Linked DNA regions of Tamandua tetradactyla. The protein of the gene in region 1 binds, or shares a complex with, the protein of each later gene. Links are inferred from orthologs where the notes say so. Each region holds a gene or a part of one and is shown in the gene's direction. Other genes may lie near its edges.

What was found. The genes of interacting proteins can lie anywhere in the genome.
Region 2: MEAF6 (region 1) and JADE2 share a complex: the UniProt entries of both Homo sapiens proteins name them as parts of the HBO1 complex. The link is inferred for Tamandua tetradactyla from reciprocal best matches to the Homo sapiens genes MEAF6 and JADE2.

The regions. Positions count from the first base shown.
Region 1 is NC_135328.1:187,800,394-187,808,104, forward strand, and holds the start of MEAF6 (chromatin modification-related protein MEAF6), read left to right. Parts: upstream 1-4,494; 5' UTR 4,495-4,569; coding exon 4,570-4,659; intron 4,660-5,431; exon of another isoform or gene 5,432-5,623; coding exon of another isoform or gene 5,624-5,686; intron 5,687-5,863; coding exon 5,864-5,979; intron 5,980-7,711.
Region 2 is NC_135346.1:13,590,887-13,599,643, forward strand, and holds the start of JADE2 (E3 ubiquitin-protein ligase Jade-2), read left to right. Parts: upstream 1-5,427; 5' UTR 5,428-5,532; intron 5,533-5,796; exon of another isoform or gene 5,797-5,831; intron 5,832-5,856; exon of another isoform or gene 5,857-6,242; intron 6,243-7,035; exon of another isoform or gene 7,036-7,144; intron 7,145-7,162; exon of another isoform or gene 7,163-7,432; intron 7,433-7,735; exon of another isoform or gene 7,736-7,920; intron 7,921-8,757. UniProt on the Homo sapiens protein: Scaffold subunit of some HBO1 complexes, which have a histone H4 acetyltransferase activity. Acts as an E3 ubiquitin-protein ligase mediating the ubiquitination and subsequent proteasomal degradation of target protein histone demethylase KDM1A.

The DNA.
Region 1 (7,711 bases):
CCCCTTACCCCTCCCTTTAATTGATCACTTGCATTTCAATCTAAATTTATTTTAACATTTGTTCCCCCTATTATTTATTTTTATTCCATATGTTTTACTCATCTGTTGATAAGGTAGATAAAAGGAGCATCAGACACAAGGTTTTCACAATCACACAGTCACATTGCGAAGCTGTATCATACAATCATCTTCAAGAAACATGGGTACTGGAACACAGCTCTACATTTTCAGGCAGTTCCCTCCAGCCTCTCCATTACATCTTTTTTTTTTTTATTAATTAAAAAAAATTTTTTAATGCCAAAAAATACCAAACAAATGCAAACATTCTTAACTTTTGATCATTCCATTCTACATATATAATCAGTAATTCACAATATCATCACATAGTTGCATACTCATCATCATGACCATTTCTTGGAATCTCTATTACATCTTGACTAACAAGGTGATATCTATTTAATGCATAAGAATAATCTTCAGGATAATCTCTCGACTCTGTTTGGAATCTCTCAGCCATTGACACTTTATTTTGTCTCATTTCACTCTTCCCCCTTTGGTCGCGAAGGTTTTCTCAATCCCTTGATGCTGAGTCTCAGCTCATTCTAGGATTTCTGTCCCACGTTGCCAGGAAGGTCCACACCCCTGGGAGTCATGTCCCACATAGACAGGAGGAGGGCAGTGAGTTGGCTTGTTATATTGGCTGGAGAGAGAGGCCACATCTGAGCAAAAAAAGAGGTTCTCTTGGGGGGGACTCTTTGTCCTAATTTTAAGTAGGCTTGACCTATCCTTTGTGGGGTTTAGTTTCATAGGAACAACCCCCAAGACTGGGGGCTCAGCCTATAGCTTTGGTTGTCCCCATTGCTTGTGAGAATATCAAGAATTCAACTTGGGGAAGTTGAATTTTCCCCCTTTCTCACTATTCCCCAAAGGGGACTTTGCAGATACTTTTTTATTCACTGTTCAAATCACTCTGGGATTTATTGGGGCATCGTTCTGGACAAACCAACAAAATCTCGTGCCCTACTCAAGGTTCCATGTGCTTATCGTGTTCAATTAAGCTATCTACATAAGTTACATTAGGAAATGCACTAGTCAAAATATAAATTTTGCACCAAATAAACATTTTTTGCTTTAGTCTCATACATAAGTTAAAAATTTTAAATATTAATTACCATCTATTTTCAGCACCCTGCAGTAATGACATTCCTTTGTTCTTCCTCATGCAAAAACATTTTTAAATTTGTACATTTAGTCACTATCATTATACACTCTAGGCATTCCTAGATTATACCATCTCAGTATTTTTTTTAATTTTATTTTTTTAAATACCAAAAGACACCAAACAAACGCAAATATTCCCACTCTGATCGCTCCACACACACAGTCGGCAATCCACAATATCATCACCATCTCAGTCTTTATTGTCTATCTTTCTTTCTGATTTCATTTGTTGAGCCAGGTAGTTATGATTTCAGTTTGTACTCTTAACCAGACACGTACTTGTCTGTCTAAGGCCTTATAACCATGGTAGCAACATCAAATTTGTTTTTGGAAGACCACCCCAGCACCATTATGGATAATGGGTTAAAAGAAGTCTGAAAGCGGAAATAAAGAGGCTGTTGGAATAAAGTAGTCAAAATAGGGCAACAACAACTTGGCAGATGAACTCACTGATCTCCCTGCTATGTGAGATATGACTTCCAGGGGCCTAAATCTCCCCGGCAACGTGGGACATAACTCCTGGGGATGAACTGTGACTGGCATCATGGGATTGAGAAAACCTTGACCAAAACAGGGAAGACAGAAATGAGACAAAACAGTTTCAGCGGCTGAGGGATTTCAAACAGGGTTTAGAGTTTATCCTGGAGGTTATTCTTACACAACATATAGATACTGTTTTTAGTTTATGGTGTATTGGAGTGGCTAGAGGGAAGTACCTGAAACTCTTGAACTGTATTCCAGTAGCCTTGATTCTTTTTTTTTCCCTCTTTTTTGGATTTTAAAAAAGGAGTTTGTTAAGTTGCAAGTTTACAATTCTAAGCTGTGAAAATGTCCAAACTAAGGCATCCAGGGAAAGATACTCTGATTCAAGAAAGGCCAATGGGTCCAGAACACCTCTGTCAGCTGGGAAGGCACATGGCAATGTCCGCTAGCTTTGTCTCCTGTCTTCTCATTTCATAAGGCTTCCCTGGGTATGTTCTCCTTCTGCTCCAAAGGTCTGTGGTTGTGTGGGCTGTCTCAGCTCTAAGGCTTTTTCCAAACTTTTTTTTCCCTTTTCTTTTTTTAACAACTCTTCACACACATACATTCCATACATGGTGTACAATCAATGGCTCACAATATCATCACATAGTTGTGTATTCATCACCATGATCATTTTTTTTAGAACATTTACATCATTTCAGAAAAACATATAAAAAGAAAAAACTCATACATACCATACTCCTCACCCCTCCCTCACTGACCACTAGTATTTCCATCTACTCAATTTATTTTACCCTTTGTCCACATCCCCATTATTTATTTATTTTTATCCATATATATTTTTTCACTCATCTGTCCATACCCTGAATAAAAGGAGTATCAGACACAGGTTTTCACAATCACAGCATTACATTGTAAAATTTGTATCTTTATACATTTGTCTTCAAGAATCAAGGCTACTGGAACACAGCTCAACAGTTTCAGGTAGTTCCCTGCAGCCACTCCAATACATCATAAAGTAAAAAGGGATAACTATATAATGCATAAAAATAACCTTCAGGGTAACCTCTTGAGTCTGTTTAAAATCTCTCAGCCACTGGCACTTTGTTTCATTTCTCTTTTCCCCTTTTGGTCAAGAATGTTTTCTCAATCACTTGATGCCAGCCAGGGAGATTTATACCCCTGCAAGTCATGTCCCATGGGGGATGGAGGGCAGTGAGTTCACCTGCTGAGCTGGCTTAGAGAGAGAGGCCACATTTGAGCAACAAAAGAGGTTCTCTGGGAGGTGACTCTTAGGCCTAATTTTAAGTAAGCTTAGCCGATCCTTTGCTGGAATAAGTTTCATGGGGGCAAACCCCCAAATCAAGGGCTCAGCCTATTGATTTGGTTGTCCCCACTGCTTACACAGAAGTTGAAGTTTTAAAATATGTAGGATGTCATCCTTACCCTGTGTTCTGATCTACCTTAGTCCTATCTAGATCAGCTTCATTCACCTCTCTACTCAAAGTCTGATTACTTTTTCAACTTTTTAAACAGTTCCTATACGGGGTACTGCTGACTTTCATAGCTTCATAGCTCTAACTCTTTGAGTCGCAGGTGTCACATAAATACCTGAAGTTTCTGGGAACAACCAGGTTACAAACAAACAGCTCAGGATCTCAGAATTTAGAAATAGCTGTTACAACTCCTGAATATATGTGACTACTGCAAGAGCTTACAATCTGGGACCCTTTACAATAGGCCCCAACCTGATAACCTATGTTCTTGACTTTAGTTCACCAAGTTTTTATATTATAGTCCATATGACTGAGACATAATATTTGTCTTTTTGTTCCTGACATTTCATTAAATATCATACACCTAGTTGCATGCCTCACAAGTCATTACAGCAGCCTTGATTCTTGAAGACAAATGTATAACTGTATAGCTTTCACAATGTGACTGTGTGATTGTGAAAACCTTGTGGCTGACACTCCCTTTATCCAAGGTACGGACAGATGAATTAAAAACAAACAAACAAAAAAAACAGGGTAGTGGCAGAGTTCTGGCCTGTCATGACGGAGACCCGGGTTCGTTTTCCGGTGTCTTCCCTTGTAAAAATAAATAAATAAATAAATAAATAAATAAATAAATAAATACACAAAATAATAAATAATAGGGGGTGGGAAAGGAGTAAAAAAATTGGGGTAGATTGCAAACTAGTGCTGAATGAGAGGGAGGGGTAAAGGATATGGAATGTATGGAGTTTTTATTTTGACTTTCTTTTTTCTGGAATGATGCAAATGTTCCAAAAATGATCATGGTATTGAATACACAAATATGTGATGATATCGTCATACCAAATTGTATACTTGGGATGGACTGTGTGGTGCCTGAAGGTATCTCAATAAAATATTTTTTAAAAATAGGGCAAGAAGGAAAGCAGCAGAGGGGATGGACAGAAGCAAACAGTTTAAGAGCTCTTCTGGAGTTGCGTCCACAGGGCTTGGAAATGGGATTAGGTTAAAGGGGTGAGGGAGAGTGAGGGTGATCCCAGGTTTTTGATTTAGGCAACTGGGAAGGATAATGAAAATTATTCACCGAAGAAGAGACTGCGGAAGTTTAAGGAAGAGCCTGTTTGGGGGCATGGTGAGTTTGTGATATCTGCAAAGGCCAGCCGTCAATCTAGGAGCAGAACACCAGACGAGTGGGATTCTCTCAGCAGGGCCAGCGAGAACCAAATGCCAGAACGCGGCTGGACGAGCGGCTCCGGAAGCCGCGCGCGCAGGCGCAGGGCGGCGGCGGGGCGCCCCCTCGCGGACCCGCGACAGCGCGCAGGGACCGCCCCTAGCTTCGCGCCGCCGCCGCCGCCCGCCTTAGCCCAACATGGCGATGCACAACAAGGCGGCGCCTCCTCAGATCCCCGACACCCGGCGGGAGCTGGCCGAGCTCGTGAAACGGAAGCAGGAGCTGGCGGTGAGCGTCGGGGGCCGGGGGCGCCCAGGTCGGGGCTCCGCTCCAACCCCCTCCCCCGGGCGCCAGCCCGGCGGCGTCTGGCCGTTACTCCGGGGGCGCAGCGGCGGGCTGGGACGCCGGCGGCCTGAGACCCGGCTGCCATTCCGTGGCCCGCGGCCGCCTCTGCTTTCCGGTTGTTCGGGTTCGGAGCTGGGACCCGGGGCCGGGCCTCGGGCCGGGGGGCGGGGCGCGGGAGCCGGGGAGAAGGAGGGGTTGGAGAAAGGAGGGGCGTGGAGGAAGGAAGGCGCCTTTGGGGAGGGGGCGGGCTGTGTGTGGGCGCTGTAGAAAGGGCGAGTGTGTGTGAGCCTGGGGAGTGGGGACGGGCGTGTCCGTGGCCCTTGGGGGTGGGTGAGGGCGGACGTGTACGCGATCTTGGAGGGGTGAAGGTAGGCGGGCGTGTCCATGGGCTGTGTGTGTGGGGGGGCGGGGGGCTCAGATTTGCCCCTGGATTTTGGGGAGGTGGGGTACGAGGAGGGTGTGGGAAGGGGATACTGTCTGACCTTTGGAGGATGGTCGGGGGTTCTGTCCTTTTGGGGACTAGGAGTAGATTCGTTGGATGGGGTATTGCACATCTAGAAGGTGACAGGCGAGGGGAGAGGACTCGGTCTATGGAGCTGGCAGTTGTGACGTGCACCCAGGGTCCTGTGCACCTTGGAGACTGACTGCTCTCCCCTCCCGTGTTTTGGTTTGGGCGTCCGGGAGGCCCGTATCACCTGAACCTATCCTTCCAAGTTTCCATAGCAACTGGCAGCCCAATGCTGGCAGCCTTTCTGAGTCAACCTGGAGGGAAGCGAGTAGGCTCAGGAAGACTGCCCACTCTTCCCTCTCCCTGGTGGCGAGACCTTTTGTGCGTGGTAGTGAAGGCTGCCCACGTTCTGCTTCAGCCCGGGTCCATGAACCTTCTGAAATATATGCGGATTTTTACATGTGTATGCGTTTTTTACTGAGGACTGACTCTACATTCTCAAGGGGTCGTTATGTCCAAAAGGTCAAGACTGCCCTCATCCTGAAAAGCCTGCCCCTCTCCATTATCATCAGTCTCTCCACAAGGGTGGTTTAGTGTGCTTGAGCACAGATCTTTGTCTCATATCCAGATTTCAGTTTGGGCAGACTTAATGTTTGCATTTAACAGGCATTATCCGTGTCCATGTTTTTCATCTCCCAGGAAACATTGGCAAACCTGGAGAGACAGATCTATGCTTTTGAAGGGAGCTACCTGGAAGACACTCAGATGTATGGCAATATTATTCGCGGCTGGGATCGATATCTGACCAACCAAAAGTGAGTGTCAGAAGCCTGTCGTGTTCTGCGGTGTTCTCTACTAATATTTGTTTTTAGAACTATATGTTTCTTTGGTACAACTTTATAGCGAGGCAGTAAAATGGTGGCAATAGAAAGAGGTTTGGGCTTGAATTGGACTCTGGCTCAACCACTCACTCCTTGAGTACCTTGGGCACATCCTACATTCATGGAATAGGGGCAAGGTGGAGGTATCACACAGGGTTGTGAGAGGTTTAAATGAAATACAGTATATGAAAATACCTTATACGAAAACACTGCGTTAGTGTTTTCCACATTTTAATCAGTCATGAGTTTTACCCTCACGATTTTTGCCATACCTGTGAGTCAATTATACCACTATTTATTTAATAATATTCTTTAAGACTTTCCAAAATGTTCAAATCAGTAAAAAAATTAAAGGACTAGTATATGAACACTAGATACTTATCTACATTCACCAATAGTGACGTGTTGCCACATTTGCTTTCTCTTTTCTAATACATATAAAGATGTATATATCTATACTTTTAAAAATGTATGTATTTTATTTTGAAATAATCACAGTCACAGGAACTTGCAAAAATAGTAGAGAGAGGTTCTGTGTACCCTTCACCAAGTTTTCACCAATGGTTGTGTTTTAAATAACTGTTGTAAAGTGTCAAACCAGTAAATTGACATTTGTACACATTTGTGTGTATAGTTCTATGCCATTTTATCACATATGTAGATTCATGTAACTACCAAAACAACTGAGATACAGAACTATTCTGTGACCGCAAAGATCTCCCTCAGGCTACCCCTTTATAGTCGTACCTCCCTCTCCTCCCAGTGCTTTTTTTTTTTTTTTTTTTTTTTGCTAAACCTTTTGAAAGTTAGATGCAGATGTCCTGACACTTTGCCTCTAAATATATCAGCATGTATCTCCTAAGAATAAGAACATTTCTCCTACCTAACCACAGTTATCACACTTAGAGAGTTGACATTGCAATAGTAGCATCATCTAATATACTTTTCAAATTTCCCCAGTTGTCAAAGAGAAAAAAAAAAGCCTTGCTGATTTGTTTTGTTTGATCCAGGATCCAGTCTGTGTTTGTGCATTGCATCTGTTTGTTGTGTCTTTTTAGTCTCTTTTAATTTAGGAGAGTCTCCCATCCTTTTTTTTTGTTGTTGTTGTTGTTGTTTATCACATAGTGTTGTAGAATGTACCACATTCCAGGTTTTTCTTTTTGTAGTCTCATAAAACTCATAAAGAGGATACATATTTTTGGAAAAAATCCTACATAAATGATGTTGCATACCCCTTGTTATATACCCATTTTTATATCAGGAGGCACATATAATCATATTGTCCCACTCTTGGTGCTGCTAAATTTCATTTCTCAGTTGTAAAAGTTCATTTTTTTTCTGTTTGTAATTAACAAGTAATTTGGAGGGTTATACTTTTAGGTAGTGTGAATATACTACTTCCTCCATACTTTTATTCAATGGTTTTAGTGTTCATGGTTGATTTTATCTTAGTTGTTATACTGGGGGTTGCAAAATGGTGATGTTCTAATTTTATTATTCCTTTTTTATTTATTACTGGCATTCTGAAAGAAGAGCCTTCTCTCTCTATTTTCCCTCCCTTTCATTCATTCTTTTTCTTTATCTCTTTCTTGTATTACTGTGGACATAAGGATTTAAAAAAATAAATCAGTGTGTTGGGATCTAGTACTGTCACTTTTTTTTGAAG
Region 2 (8,757 bases), on another chromosome or scaffold:
GCATGCATGTGTAATGGACCCCAGAAAGAGCCAAGTCTGGGTCTTGCCAGAGCAGTGTCTTCAGCCAAGCAGGCCTGGGCAGCTACCACCCCCTACCCTACCCCACCCCCACCTCCACTGTCCCCCATCTCAAAACCCAGCTGCAGCCTCTGTCTGGAGCCCAGGAAGGAAAAGCTGCTGGATTTGTCCTCTCCTGACAACACCACATGATGTGTTTTGCACAGTGTTTGGCACATAGTAGGTGCCCAGGAAATATTTGCTGACCAACAGAATGAACGTCCATCCTCCCTCAAAGTAGCCCATCTAATGCCACTGACTAGGTGTGGGAGGGCAGCAAGGACTGGATCCCAGATATAGGAGACAGAAGGAAGCGTGAGCAAACCTCAGTTGTACCTGTGCAATCAATATGTCTTCAGATTGCTTCTCTAATTCCACCCTTCCCCTTCAGGATTCCCAGGAATTCCCTGGGAACCCTAAGGTTAGGGCAAGTGTTGTGACCCAATTTTCCTAACTGTTCAAACCTGTGCTATTTCAAGTGTGAGCAGTGGACCAGTAGCATCAGCATCATCTTGGAGCTTGTTAGAAATGCAGATTCTCAGGCCCCACCCCAGACCCACTATATCATAATCTGTACTTTAACGAGATCCCAGGTGAGGTATCTGCATGCCACCACTAGACAGGCACTGCCTTAAGCAGCCAACAAGTGAACATGGACGGGGAATCCGAATGCCGAATGAGGACTTCCCACCTGGCGCACTCAGTAAATATTCAGCGAATGAATATTAACCAAATCTCATGTGGGTTTCTCCATTTAGGGTGCTCAGGATATGCTGGACCTGTGCCTCTGGACACACACATCGAGCTGTTTGAAAGGCTTTTTGTTCCTCACAAGGGCTCCTGGAGGAGTGGCTATTGTCTACTGAGGGCCAGACCAGTGCTCAGTACCGTGTGGGCATGCTCTCAGTGTTTTACAAAGTGTGGTTCAAGGCCTAGGGCATCAAGAATGACCAGCTGCTGGTTAAAAATGCAGATTCCTGGGCCCTGCTCTGGACCTACCCCTTGAGAACCTTTGAAGATGAGATCCAGCAATCTGCATTTTAAACAAGCATCCCAGACAATTATTTCCAGTAATTTGGAAATGGTTGCATCTCTAGCTTACAGAAGAGGAAACCAAAGCACAGAGAGGTTAAGTAACTCATGCAAAGTCACAGAGCTGGTGAATGACAGAGACCAGATTCCAACCCAGGACTTCCTGGCCCTGGAATTCAGTCTTAAACGTAATGCCTACTACACTGGAAAAGCTGATGCCCAGACAGACTGTATATAATTAGCCCTATGCATTGCCTTGTGTGTATTTCAGGTGTCAAAGAGGTTTGGTAGACTGTGAACTCCTGTGAACTCTTGCAAGTCAGTGAATGTGTTTTATTTCTCACTGTATCCGTGGCATCCAGCACCGAGCCACCATGGGGAAGATCCTCAACAAAAGCTGTTTGAATTGAATTTCTACAGATTTTTGGTTATCCATCTTTACACACATTCACAAAGATATATACAAATGAAGGGCATTTTATTTTTAGGTAGCATCTTGGAACTAGCTAGTAACAAGTATAAACCTCCCCACTCTCTTGAACTCACTCCAATCAAGCTTTCGTCTGCACCACTCCACTGACACGACTCTTGTCAAGGTCACCAATGACATCCGCGTTGCTGAATCCGGTGAATTCTCAACCTTTCTCTTTCTGACTGCTTTGTAGCTTTGAACATAGGGCTTTCCTCCCTTTTGAAACTCTCTTTTCACTAGGACTTCCAGGACATCATATTCTTTGGACTTTCTTCCTAGCGATCTGGATGCTTTTTTAAAAAAAAAAACAAAACACAAAAACATCTTTGCTGATTCCTCGTCATTTCCCAGACCTCTTAACCTTGCAGTGTCCAAAGGCATCATCGCTGGGCTTCTTCTCTGTCTACCCTCACTTCTTTGGTGATCTCAGATAGCATGAAATACCATCCATCTGCTGACCACTCTCTTTAGCCCTGAGCTGAGACTGCCCGGTCTAGCTGTCTATGGAATGGCAGCACTTAAATGCTAACAGGCATCTCAATCTTAACATGTCCAAGGCTGAGCTCTTCAGCCTCCCCCCAAAGCCTACTCCTTTCACATCTCCCCCATATCAGTTCACGGCAACTCGATTCTTCCACTGGTTCAAGGCAAAACCCTTGAAGTCATCTTCAACTTCTTTCCCTCTCTCATACCCCACAGCTAATCCATCAGTAAATCTTGATAGAGTTACCTTTAAAATACATACAGATGTCAACTTCTTATCACTTTCACTGCTACCCCCTGATGATCCATCTTAAGCACATCTCTTACCTGGTGTGTTGAAGTGACCTCTTAACTGGTCTTCCTGCCAATATCCTGGCCCCTTCGGTCTGTCTGCTACACAGCAGCCAGAGTGACCTGTAAAACCCAGTACCTCAGGTCATGTCGCTGTTCTGCTTAAAACTCTCCAGTGCTTCCTGTCTCAATTCCAGCAAAAAGCTAAATTCCTAACCACTCCCTACAAGGCCCTAGATAACTCTTCCTTATGCATATTAAGCACCTTAATGCCTCGGGGCATTTGTGTTTGCTGGTCTCTTTGCAGTGACAGTGGTTCTCAACCATCTTTGGTGCCATGGACTCCTCCTCTGGCTTCTGTGAAGGCTGTGGACAACTGAGTACAATAATTGTTAATCCTTACAATAAGTTACATAAATTACAAAGAAAATCAATTATATTGAAAATCACTCTCAAAATATTTTTAAATGTACTATATAGTAATACATACGCTTCTTAATTCATTTAAATTACAAGACATAGCAGCCTAATTTTGAAATAGCGGTGAGTGTAATGATATTTTCAGATAGCCGCAACAACTGTAATGTGATATAAAAATATCTGATTTCTACTAGCAACAGCGTCACAGTTGCTAACACCACTGTGATTTGTTTCTGAATTCATAATTGAAAATTATGCTAAATTACATTTTTTTCCCATCTAAGGTCAAGAACCCCTGAATTTTATCCAGAGATCTCTTAAAGGACTTCTTAGACCTCTTAAGAATCCAGGTTAAGAACCCCTGACTAGAATGATCTTTCCCCATTAACCCTTACTGCTCACTCCTTTACCTTCTTTTGCTCAAAAGCCACATCTCAGTGAGGTCTCCCTAAGGAACTGCTATCTCCCTATCACCCAATTCTACTTAATTTTCTCCATGGCACCTACCTTCAAACACAGAGTATATACATTATGTATCTCCTTCCACTAGAAAGTAAGTCCCATGAGATCAGAGCAAGGATTTTTATCTGTCTGTTTTGTTCGTGCCGTGTGCCCTCAGCAAGCAGAAGAGTACCGGGCGTACGGGAGGCACTCAATAAATATATGTGAGTCAACAAATGATTACATCTCCAAGAACTCTGTTTCTTTTCTTTTCGTATTCTGCAAAGTTAATGATTTATGAAACTTTTAATAAAGATTAAGTAGTTATAAATTAGCTTCATCATTATCATTATGTTAACATTTCTAAGGTTAATGAGAACCCAAGGGTCCTGATGGGATTTCCAGACTTAAACCACAGGTATCTCCCAAGGACCCTTCACGGGATGGAGGGCTCACCCAAGCTTAGAGAACCACCTCAGGGTCAAAATGCAGCCAGTAAAATCCTGCTCTCTTTGCCAAATCAGGCCTCAACCGGAGTCAAACCAATCATACCAGTACTTTCTATTTCTGGCAGGGTAGTAAAATGAGAGCCGCACAGATCTTGGGGTCAGGTAGATCTAGGTGCCAATTCTGCCAACACTTACAAGCCATGGGACCGTTGGTAAGTTACTACACCTTGGTGAACAGCTAAGAAGGGGGGTTTGCCAGCACAAAGCAGGCGCTCTAGAAATGGTGACCCCCTCCTCTAGGTCATTTTATAATTGCCTACTAAGGTATTTCCCCATTTTAGATCATGGGATCCTGACACCTGGGAGCAGACAGCCTGACTTGTCCTCTCCTACATACAAATCCTTCGGAGCCAGGCCCAAGCAGAGCAGATCCCCGGGACTGGGCTGCTGTAAATTGGTGACCCCCAACTCCAGTGTGGCTGAGAGTGCTGCCTGGACCTTGACCATCAAGGCCACTGTCCATTATGTTTTTTTATCCTGGCCCTCCCTTTTGTGTGTTGACAGAAATAATCGTCCCCCAGTTTTTCAGAGTTAAGAGTTTTGGGAGAGCACATTAACCTTTCCAAACAGCATACAGTAGATGGGGGAGTGGGCTGCTTACTGCACACGTGTGCTCTGAGCCAGGCCCTGTTTACCTGCATGTGCCTGCACATGTACACACACACACGTCCAAATGCACATGTACACACACACGTCCACACGGACGTATGACCTCAGGAACCCACAACTGCCCCCTTCTACAGATGAAGAAGAAGAGAACTAGAAAGATGAACTCACTTGCCCATACCACACAGCTTCTGAGAGGCAGAGCCAGGACTAGAATCCAAGAATTTAACCATTTTGTTACTGCACCACAGCCCATGACACCTGTTTTGCAGGCCCTGACCTAGGCTTGGGAAAATCCTATCCACTGATCATGGAGAGCCAGAGCCAGGTGATGGTTAGTCCACCTGCCCCTAGTCTTGCCGGATAAGCTCCCGCACCTCCCACACCCCATCTTGTGAATGAAGGCCAAGGAGGAGAAGTGTTGCAGGGACTCCCTTTGAGATCATAGTTCTTTCTGGTTGCAAAAAGTGCTTATTTCAGCATTTTTAATCATCTCCCTCTTTGTTGTGTAAACAATCCTCTCTGTCAGAGGATTTGTGCTGTTATTACGAGTTTGTTTATTATTAGATTTATTTCTCCTATAAGCAAATGTGTTCACAATATTCCATCGGGGAATCTTCTTAATTGTCACATAAATGTCATGTTATGTAAATTGAATATTTATCTTTCCTTGGAAGGGGGTGGAGGGGAAAGAAAGAATAAACAATCTTCAGTCTTGGAGAGATAAGGTGGTTCCTGAGCCACTTCTCAGTTTACCCTGGTGCCATAGGTGAACTGCCAAAGGTGAACCGGGAAAAAAAAAAGATTGGATCATCTCTGAGGGGCTGCCAAGAAGGACGTGGGATGGGGGGGGGGGAAGAAAAAGTTGGCAGTGATGCTTTGGAGATGTTGGCCCCAGCTCCTAGGTCTCCCTCCTCCTCTGCCCTGCCCAAGGCCACACCACAGACTACCTCGTCCACGGCTGTGGGCATCCGCGGGAGGATGCAACTGCCCCCACCCCACCTCCCTAGTGCCCATCCCGGAGGCCAACCTTTCTCCTTCCTCGAGAGAAGGTGAGCGCGGCGGGCGCAGCGGCCCGGGTGGGTGTGGCCCGCGGCTCCGGGATCGGCCCCCAGGCCCCGCCACCGCCCCGCAGCCGCCCGCCAGCCCGCCTGCCCGGCGATCGCAGGCTCTTCTTCCAGAAACTGCGAGGATCCGAGCGCACTGTTTGTGCACCACAAGGTCAAGTCGGGAACTGGAGCCGGAGGAGGAGGGGCGAGGAGGCGAAGGGTGGGGAGAGGGGCGCCCTGCTTCCTCGCCAAGTGCCAGCCCTTGGAAGTTGCCCCTCGTTTTTTAACCCTTTCGGAGCCTCGGGGAACGGGGTGGTGAACTAGGGAGACGGGGTTACTCCGGGGCAAATGCAAACTCCCACGGGGGTCAGGATGTGCAGCCACCCACCCACCCATCACCGCCTTCCCCACCCCACCCCACCCCCCGGAAATGCGGGGCAGCGCCGGGCGCCAGGAGACACCCGAGCGGGGGTAAGGGGCGGCGAGCCGGCGAGGGACCCTCTCTACCGACCGCCCCTCCTTTTTTTGAGGTCGCCTACAATTTCAAGTTTCCCCCCGCCGGGGACGTTAGTTTCCATCTGGCGTGGGTGGGGGAGGAGGGCCGCGCCCCCTCCCCCAGACTCGCGCGCGCCCCTCCCCTCCGCTCCTGCTAGCACTTTCTGCTCACTTCTAGCGCTGGGCTGGGAAACGCCACGCGATTTATTCAATTCGCATTTTAAAACCAGTGATTCCAGAGTAAGGCCTAGGGCGAGGGGCTTCTAGCGCTGGAGCCCTGGGGGGCGGGTGCTCAGTGCAAACCTCGTTCCCTCCGCGAGCGTCGCCTCCAGGCTGTTATTTGCGAAGAAACGTCTTTTTGACGCAGGGAGAAATGGCAAATTTTAAGTACGTCATTAATATGGCGCCAAAAGATTTTTTTAAGTATAAGCTTGCTTCTTTTTTTTTTTTAAGGTTGCGGGGGGCGCCGCCCGGGTCTGGGGAGCGAAGGGGGCGGGGTGTGAGCAGAAAGTGTGAGTGAGAGAGTGGAGGGGCGGAGTATGTGTGTGAGTGTGTGAAGTGTGAGCAGACCTGATGGGACTTGCACGGGCGCAGCCGCCGCTCAGGCCCGGCCCTGGGGACAGGGCGGGCTGGGGGCGCCCCCGAGCCGGTGGGGAGCCCGAGCCCGGGGTGTCGGTAGGCGGGCGGCTCGACAGGGCACCCTCCCTGCGGGGCCCGCAACGCTACCTGGATGCACCGCGGGAGCCAAACAACTGGGTGTGGGGGGGTACGGGGGGGGGGGGTGTCGGACGACAGGAGTGTCAAGAGCGGAGATCGGAGTGAATAAGAAAAAAAGTGGCTACTCCCCCACCCTCGCTCCTCCCGCCCGCCCCTACCCCCACCCCCACCCCCACCTCAACACATTTTTTTTTTTTTCTAAAGAGATCACAAGGAAGTCTTGGTTTAAAAAGAAACAGAAACATACACAGGGGGTTGGTAAATGGTGCCGACCGCGGCCATCGCAGTTGGAGGCTATTTGGAGGTGGTGGGGGGAAGCGAGTAGCGTCCATGGAGTTACTTTGCGCCCACTCCTAGCCGCGCCCGCTGGGGTCTCGCGGGTTGATCGTCCGTGGCTGGGGAGGCCGCGGGCCCGGCTCCCTCCCTCGCCGCGACCCCGGATGGATGCGCGCCCCCCGCCCTTCCGCGCCGGCCCCAGGAGCTCCGGGTTTCGGGAGCATCCTTTCCGCGCCGGCCCCCGCTGTGGCGCGTAGCCGAGGGCAGCGCCCCTCGGGAGGGCACAGCGGAGCAAGGTAAGATCCACCCTCCAGTGGAAGGGCCCTGCGCATCTCTACGGCATTATTTTGTGTTTTTGCAACAGATCTGCCAGCGCTTCTCGCTCCCTCGCTCTCTCTTGCTCACTCGCTCCCTCTCCTGCTGGCTGCCTGTTCTAGGAAGCCAGCGCCGGGGGGCGGGGGGTAGGGGGGGTGGTGAGATGCACAGCACTGGGGAGAGAGATTGCGCATGTTGGTCAGTCGTGTTTTAAAGAGTACAGTGCGGGGAGGCTGAGAGGGGCGCATGCAACAACAACTTTTGGAAGGGTGAGCTTGGCGACCTTCTTTATTAATGACTGCGGCAAAGCGCCCCCGGACCGGCGAGGGGGCGCGGGCGGGCGGGGGCGCGCCGGTGCTGCAACTTGCCCCGCGGCTCGGGCCGGGAGCAGGGGCTGCGGTGGGTAAAGGGTGCGGGGGTGGGGGGCGGCTGTCGACTGCCCCCCGGGGGGGGGGGGCGCTGCTCAGGACCTGGAGCTATCTGCCCTCCTGTCGCCCCGAGTTTCATTTTGTTGATACGCAGCACGTCCGGGCGCCGAACCGGGCTGAGCTGGTGCACATGACCCCGCACTGGGCTCACGTGCAGCTAGTCCGGCCCCAGACACCTTCCGGAGGCCACCGCCTCCGCTCTCTCGCCCCCTCTCCGGGCTGGGTGCACGCGGGAGCTGCACGCGGGGGCAGCATGCTTGGCTCCCGGGCGCCGAGGCTCTGCACAAATTAAGACAGTTTTTTGGATATGCGGGAGACGCTCTTTCCAGGTGAGTGGGGGGAAGTGCACGGCCCCGGCGCCGAGGCGCGGGCTGGAGTTGGGGGCAACCACCCCTCCGGGGCTGCGCGGGAGTCCGGCGGGGTAGAGGCGCTGGGAGAGTGGAAATGTACCGGCGGCTGCTGGGGCGGCGGGTGCGCGCCCGCGGGGCGACGGCAGGGGGCGTGGCCGTTGTTTACCTTCTCCCAACTCTGCCGGTTCGCGTCCCGCTCCGGGGACGGCTCCGCAGTCCCTCTGCTCTCCGCCTCCCCCCCGGCGCCCAGGGTGGTACCGGGAAGATGTAGGCGCGTGGCGGCCCCTGCCTGGGACGCACACACCTGACCCCCACATGAGTGACATTGCAGCCCCCGCCCCCACCAAAACCGCTGCAGTCCCTCTGCCGGATCACCGGCCCCGCCCCGCCCCCGGCAGTGGCATCTTCCCAGCCTCACCTCCTTCCTCCCTTTCTCCCTCCCTCCTTCCCACCCACTCGCCTGCGCCTGCGGAGCGGCTCCCGCCCGCCTCCTCCCCTCCTGGGTGCAGACTTGTGGCTCCCTCCGGTCCCTTCCCGCCCATACTGGGCCCTGAGACACCCCCTTCTCTCGGCCGAGGGATGGGAGGCGGGGGGCTGCCTGGCGAGGCGTAGTTGTTCTGCCAGACGATGGGGATGTCTGCGAGATGGGCAGGAAGGCTCCGCTCGAGCTTCCAGAGGCCCAGGACCCACCCCCTCCCCGAACCTTACCACCTCTCCTGTATACAGCTGCCCAACCCGCAAAGGGTCCAGCTGCCTTTCCCTGCATCCCCTAAACCTCTCCCCTCCCGGTGTCACGCCCATTGCCCGGCGCTGTCC